2 linked regions of the Drosophila melanogaster genome follow. The protein of the gene in region 2 interacts with the protein of the main gene of each other region in a pairwise test. Each region holds a gene or a part of one and is shown on either strand. Other genes may lie near its edges. The genes, in order: dati and CG10621.

Region 1 (3,935 bases), on a different chromosome or scaffold from region 2:
CCAAATCGTGCCACCTCGGAATAACGGTCAAGCCGGAAAACGGAAACTTTGTTCTTGTTACACGTATGTATATATATGCACGCATATGTTTATATATGTGTGTATATAAGGTATGATCGCCATTGTGACTGTAGGGATTCGATATTAACATGGAAGTTAGGATCAATAATTACCTTGAAAACAAACATATTCTCAGGCGATTACAGTACGATGACGGTTACGTCGCAGGTGATGGGCGGCATACCAATCAGGTAATGGTCCTATATTAGAAAATCCTATATCCTATTGACTTTTTACGTGCGACGGCTTTGCAGTTGAATGTCCGTGGGCTTAATATATACTTGAATTAGGTTTTTGATGTATTATTAAAAGTCATTTAAACTTAAGGCCGGAATAAGGCACACGTTACGGTGTCGCGATATATTGGTTATAAAATTCATTTATCGCCTATTTATCCCAAAACATGGAGTTAGATTGATGCAGTTTCTATTTGAATTTGTTTACATATAAATTTAAAAATTTTGTAAACGTTTGAATCACAATTTGTTACCCGATACGATCTACTATTTTGATGCCCAGATTTGTATTGTTCGGAAATACCTACATATGTACGCATTGTGACGTCTCATAATTTAATATACATATAAAAATATAATATGATATATTCCAATTTTAAAATAATTCGAGGTTCACATTTGTAACTTAAACGAATATTTAGTTTAAAATATCGTCCATTATATTACCGAAGAATGATATTTTGATTATTTATAGTAGCAATATCTTTAATTTTATATACTATTTTACGTACTGTTTACTATAATAACCACTATCTCTTCACGCTTAATCATGTATCTATACTATTATTTTTTGAGTATTGCTCTTATCATTAAAAAATAATAAGCGACTTGGTGTATAGTTACGTATGGTTATGCTAGGGCTAGCTGTAGGGTATGTGATAGTTCAAACTGTCTGTTCCGGTGTCAGTGTGTCTTCGGTAATCATTCAGGGAGTGTATTTTGTAGCTGTAGAAAATCTAAATGTTTTATTATATACTGTTTAAATTAGTATTAAGAGACTATATATGCAATTTAAATGACTATATGGTTATGTACACATTTGTGTAAATCATATAAATCATATTTTCGATTAGTAGCCTAGTTTGGACTTAAATCTTCACGTAATCATATTTTCGATTAGTAGCCTAGTTTGGACTTAAATCTTCACGTAATCGTTACTAAAACATACAGTTTTATATTGTATTAAATTTATAATTCTTTTGCGCATTCATTAATGTCGTTTTGTACTTTTGATTTCAATTTTGTTGTAAATTATATTTTTCATTTGTCTAAAAAGTAATTTTTAAATGGGTTTTCTCGTTGGTCTGTTTTTATGTTAGGTTATATTGGTTTAGATGTTATTTTTCGGATTGGTGATGAAGTTAATGTTGATGTGGTTCTTCCTTTTTGGTAATAGGTGTAGAAAACTTAGTTAATTAATGCATCTGTTCTATTGCGTTTAAAACTGAAAGATGGCTGGGTTGAGTTAGGTTTGTCGATTTGATCGTTTAGTTACGGATTCTTCTTTATTGTTAAAAACGATTTTTGGTCTATTGTGTTTGTTAAAATTATGATGATCTGAAATTAAATTAAAAGAAATATTGTTTTCATATTTTCATCTGAATTCAGTAAAACACAAATGAAATCGTCCAAGTAAGCATTGCCAAGCAATTCATTTGTGCTTTGTTTTTTTTTTTTTATCAAACAACTCTATTATTTGGTTAGTTTTTAGTTTTTAGCACAGTCCACAATCATTTTATATCTGGTTTAAGCACATTTGATAAAATAAAAATGATCCGCGAGGTCAGGACGATCCGCAGTCGGTTGTTCTACTCCATGGAATATTGCGTTTCTGAATGCCGCATCCAAAATAATTGAGAATAAAAATCATCGCCTCGGCATACGTTGCTTCCCAAGCTGGAGACTGGGATGGAGACAGCCGGGTGCCGAATTGGGGAAATAGCTGGCAGCAGCGGTGTGCTTATTATAAGATAAAAATTGTGTGTTAAACAAAAAGTGACAGCAGCGGGAGCGACAACAACAGCGAAAGCGGCGGATGTGGATTCAGATCCTTGCACTCGGACAGGGAACCTGTGCCAGCGCCGGCGCTGTTGGTAACTGCAGTTGCAGTGGCAGTTGTTTCAGCATTTGCAGTTGCAGCTCTACACTCAAAAAAAAATTGAATAAAAAAATTTCAATAAAGCACCAATTCCTGAATTACAATTCTTAAGCTCGGAGAGCTTATTGATATTCTTATTGCTCCTCAATTACACCTTGTAGGGATGACCTGATGAGGCCTCTAGTCTCTGTCTAGCCCTGCCCGTTCCCTTCTCCGTCTAAGGCGCGGGATATGGCTTTCTGGTCTTTTTTTCAAGTGTATTAAGCTGCATGCTATTGTTGCCCAGCGCCCATTCACTCCACGTGAGTCTGTGTGCGTACAGTGTACAACATATATGTATGTCTGGCCCATGCCGCTTTCATATGCGTTTTCGTTGCATCATCCCCTACGCCGCCCTCTCCAACTGATAACTCTCAAACAAGCAGGCGGAGGGGGGCTGTTGCACTCGTCGTTGGTCGTCGGGTCCCGTCAGCGCTGCACTTCCGCAGTAACATCCCTTATGGCAGCGTTGCAGCGTGATGACCACTGCAACCACCCAGCAAACCGACCTCCTCCCTGCTGTCTTGCTGCAACCACAGCACAGTCCGTTCTGGTCGGTGGAATGCAAATTTGTGCATGATTTAATGTCTACTTCAAGGCCTCTCTGGCACCTCCTGGCCCTGTTACTACCCCTGCCCAGCTCCTGTTTCTGTCCACGTTCAGCCATCTCCCTTCCGCCGCCGGACAGCCAGCCAACTGTTTCTGTCTAGCTCGAGTTTTGCGCTGCACTTGTGCATGTATGTGCGATATGGCTGCATTTCTGGTCTTCGTCACGGTGCGGCAGTATGCATTTTAATGCTTATGTGAAGTTCTTATGTACAAACACGTACACAATCAAGTGGGCGGCTCGCAAAGCACATAGGCATCCGGAAAACACTATTGAACCCTACCTTTTCAAAATGAATGTGCAGCCGTGTATGCTGCAGCATATACATATGTACATATTTAGGTAACGTTAGCCGCCACCTCTGCTGCTCAATCGATTTTGGTCTGTGCTTTGGTCTGTGGGAATCGACCTCTATCGATTTTCTTTAATATTATATTTATTTATGTACACACATACATGCATGCATTCGCAACAATTCGTGGCGTGGAAAAAAGCGGATACCTAGGGTATATGTATGTACATAAATATCTTCTTGCAAATTTGAATATTGTTTTAAAAGTATACACATGCTCAGTAAAAAAAAATTACAGGAAACCCACTATTTTTTTGTTGAAAATTATGTGCTATTCCCATAGATATATTTTACAGCAGTCGTACATGATTGATAAATACCTTATAGTATAGTACATAGTATCTTTTGGTATTTGGCTGCTATCTTGGATAGTGATCGAAGAGGACTTTGACGCCTTTTGGTGAGATAGTAGACAAGGCTACCATGAAGTCGCATTCACATCATCTCATAAAAGAGATCATAAACCCGAAATTCTATCAAGTCAGTCTAAATACAACTAGTCAATCCGCATACATATCTACATAATCTAAGGTTCAATCGGTCGACAGCTACGCATGAGCTTTAGGCAAAACCTAGGGTCCCGCGGTCTTAAAAATGGGCTTACAGTGTACAGCTAAATACAAGGACAGACCGAGCATACCAAATGTTCAAACTCACTTGACTCAATTGGTTAAGCTGAGAACTTGTGCTCAGAAAACGTGTTGTTAGGTTGGCTCAATTACGCACGTCAAACCCGGTCACGCTTACCTCAAACTGTCCTGA
Region 2 (3,935 bases):
ATACCTCTCCGCTATTGGGGTACACCACCAACGGTATCTGCTCACCCACTTCGCGGTCACCATTCAAACTCTTAAAGAGCGGGGTCACAAACTTCGGATGCACACAATTTACTCCGATGGCCAGGCACTTATCCTGGGCATTTCGTTCAGCCAAGAGGTCCCAAATAGCATTCGCCGCGTCCGCAAAGGTTTCTCCATGCGCCAGGGTATTCTCATCCTTGCACTGGAAGGCCACCCAGAACTTCACATCCGGATAATCATCGCACAGCATCTCCACCAGGGCCTCCGCCTCCATTTGACAGGGAATCGTCTCGATGGCCAGCGCATCCACACCAGCCTCCAAGCACGCTTCGATCCTCACGCGATGCCAGTCCGTAATCTCCTTGGCCGGCACAAAGTCGGCATAGCTACCGGTGTACTCGGAGCCATCGTGCAGGTGGGCCCCAAAGGGTCCAATGGAGGCAATGATCAAAGGGTATCCTTTAAAAACAATAAATTGGAATATATAATTGGTAAATATTACTATATATAAAATAAAGTATTAAAGAAAGTATTAAAAGTAATGACCCTACCACATCATTCACTTGACCACAATCTAAATTAATCCCGCCCGAGCTGGACCTCATGGATGTCAACTTACCCTCCTGCACCGACAGCTGCGCCTGATAGCACTCGGTGAGATAGCGTTCCTTGGCGATGTGGGCCAGGCGGACCGTGTTCTTTATCAGCTCGATGCTCTGCTCCTCGTCCAGCTCCAGGTACTCCATGTAACCATCGACACTGGACTGGTAGGTGTTGGTCAAAATGATATCGGCACCATCTGGTGTTGTCAAGGGGAAAATTCAGTTAGTATGTTGCCAATTGCTACCGGAAAACAATTGCTTACTCTGCAAAAAGTCCAGGTGGGTGCTGATAATGGCCGCCGGATTGGTGGCATTGAAGCGGGCACTCCATAGCGGATCCCCATCCACAGAGTCACCCACATGGACGGTCATCTGGGTGCCGAAACCGCCATCCTTCACCAGCACGCGCGTCAAACCCATGATTGAAAGATTACTAAGAGGGGTGGAGGATGATCCGTTGAAAATTGATTATTAGTTACATTTCTACGTCAGCGGGCTGCGAGATAATTAAATATGTATATTGCGTCTGCCACCTGGATTCCACTGCACTCAGGGCGATGTTATACAATGTATCGGAAGAACTAATCTCTATTTTTCAGTTCAACGAACTTGGCAGAACAAAAGACCAGTGGCTTAATCTAAAAAACACACTGAGAAAAACAGCTCAAAGTTCTTTAGCTAAGATATATGTTATATGAGTCTTATGATTTATTATAAAAAAGATTTAATTCTAGGAGTATTCAGCTTTCACTGAATAGTATACAAATTTAAAACCAAGGTCACATTTTTACGTATCTCAATAAATGGCGAGTTAAAAGCCTGAAACATTTTATTCTGTATACGCTAAATTCAAAATATACATCAGCTCTTTAAAATTTGGCAACAATTTTTGAGAAATATATATCTTTTAAAGTGAATCATTTATTACGTTTCAAGATCTATTCTTGTTCCAAATTAAAAAATATATTAATATTTAATATATGTAAGTATTCCAAGCATAACATTTTTAGATTGCTTATAAGATCCCTTTGTTGCACTTTTAAGCATACTCCTTGGATAGTGTATACACCGTCTGTCATCAAAATCTATCGGTAGGGAAGCGAAAAACACACGATAAGGTCTCGCACTCACCTTGACAGCTTGTTTATGGATCTTGTAAATGGGCAAATTCAATAACAACTTTATTAGACACTAGACTGGCTGGTTGGTTATCAAGTGGTTATCACAAATCTTTCGGAACGGTGGATATGATCAGTCGCAATGGACGCTCGACGAACGTTTAAATGTTTCACGTATCGTCGAGGGGCTTTTATACTTTCCGAAGGGCCACTCAGCTGTGCGGCTCGGCTTATCAGGGCGAAATTTATAATATTTATAATAATTTATAACAAAACAAAACGGCAAACACAAACATGAGAGTGCCCCCACCAAGTGGGTGATAAGCCCGGTGCACAGCTGCCAGACGCTGGCCAGCCAGATTGGATTGTCCGGGTGGACTGCGACTCCCCCTCCACGAGGCTGATGAAGCTGATGAAATCGTCAAAGCGCCGCTGTGCGTGGTTCTGGCTTCCGAGTGACTCTGCTCGGGATGTCGCATCTGCTAAGTCGACGCCGATAACCTCTGGACGCCGCCTAGGACCAACACTTCAAGATGTACTTGGTTGTTGACTCTGTCCTCCTTAAAGGAAAATGGGTGAGCTTCCGACCGCACTCAATAGATTATGGTCCAAAAATAGGTCTACTGATGTCAAAGAGAAAAACAACATTTAACCCCTATTCTGGTAAACAAATCGCTAATGAACAGGAAATAAGACATAAGATATATCAAATAAAATCTCCTCTAAAAGAGATGAGCTTAAAGTGATGATTGTTATTAATATTTGGACAAAAAAAAAATAAATAAATAAATAAATAAATAAAGTAAAATGTAAAGTAAGAGATTGACCGACAAAAGGCTTTCAATTTGAAAATGGCCGTTAAAATCATGTTTTTTGAACGAAGTATCCGATTAGGCTGATTGCCAGATTGGGTCAGAGTGCAATAGGTGGACATGTGGCTCCACCATCCTCAAAAGCTTCAACAGCCAAAAATGTAAGTACTCTTTTAAAAATGCGGTATGAAGTTCCAAAAAATTTTGAAATATCTTTCATAGTGATAAAGTCGAGAACCGCAAGAATAGAAGGGCATACCCTTCTCTATAAAGTACCTTGCGTACCAGAAGGCGTTTGCCTTGGTACATATGTAAGAAGTGATTAGATTTGATGAATCTCTAATGAAGATATTATTTTAATACTGTACTAAAAATATGATATATTGAAGATAACTAAAACAACTATTTTTGATATTTTTGTAGTTTATTGCTTTACATCAGTACATACATACACACTTTTAACAATATTAATTTTAAAGAATTTAAATCCGGCTATAAAGAATAGAAAGCTAAGAACACAGCAAGTTTTTCAAAGGACAAATGCACGTTTTTGTGTTATAATTGAATAGAAAATTGTTTTGATTTGGACTCAAAAATTGAGCTAGGTTGGCAAAAACAGTCGTTGGGCGAACGTCTGCCCATATCCCCAGCCCACTTGTTTACCTTTGGTCCGCCCGCCTAATCTGTGTTTGTCTCCCAGCCAGCCGTCCACGCTTTTTTCCACACTCTGCTGATTAGGAAGCCATCTGATCTGGGTACATCTAGTACTCGCGTATATGTATTTAGCAAACTAAATAGGTCTAGGTCTAGTCACACGAAACAGCTTTCGCATTAGCGACAAGGCTGCTATCAGTGACCGGAGTTCTCTCCCGATTACGGCTTTATGTTGAGGCCATCGACGTACTTGCGGATCGCCAACACGTCCGTCGGATAGACCCGGCAACAGCCGCCAACGATGCGCACTCCCAGCTGGATCCACTCGGGCACAAACTTGACCACCTCCTCGCCGGTTCCAGTCCAATCTCCCTGCTCGACGTCGTAGATCTCGCCGCGATTGCTGTAGACCACCAGTGGGATGCGATCCGAACCGGCCACTTTGGTAAGCGATGATAGCAAAGGGGTCACGAATAGTGGGTTTACACAGTTCAGACCGATCCCAAGGAGCCGGTTCTCAGCCTTCCGACTTTGGACCAACCGCCAGAGGGAGAGAGCCGCCTCCGCGAAGTTTTCTCCACTAGCCATGTGCTTTTCATCCTGAAAATATCGGAACATAAAGTGGATTTTTAAATGTAATTGAACGATATATTTTTTACCCTTGTTTTGTATAAAGAATGTTATTGTTTTTTGCGATATTACTCACCATGCACTGCAGGGAGACCCAG

What was found.
Region 1: the proteins of CG10621 (region 2) and dati interact in a two-hybrid assay, tested with the Drosophila melanogaster proteins (one large-scale study listed by BioGRID).

What each region holds. Positions count from the first base shown.
Region 1 is NC_004353.4:393,689-397,623, forward strand, and holds the start of dati (datilografo), read right to left. Parts: upstream 1,918-3,935; 5' UTR 174-1,917; intron 1-173.
Region 2 is NT_033779.5:18,952,518-18,956,452, forward strand, and holds the start of CG10621 (uncharacterized protein), read right to left. Parts: upstream 1,915-3,935; 5' UTR 1,755-1,914; intron 1,274-1,754; exon of another isoform or gene 1,057-1,273; 5' UTR 1,044-1,056; coding exon 887-1,043; intron 821-886; coding exon 641-820; intron 481-640; coding exon 1-480. Other genes in the region: Bhmt (Betaine-homocysteine S-methyltransferase), read right to left, coding at 3,427-3,807, 3,914-3,935.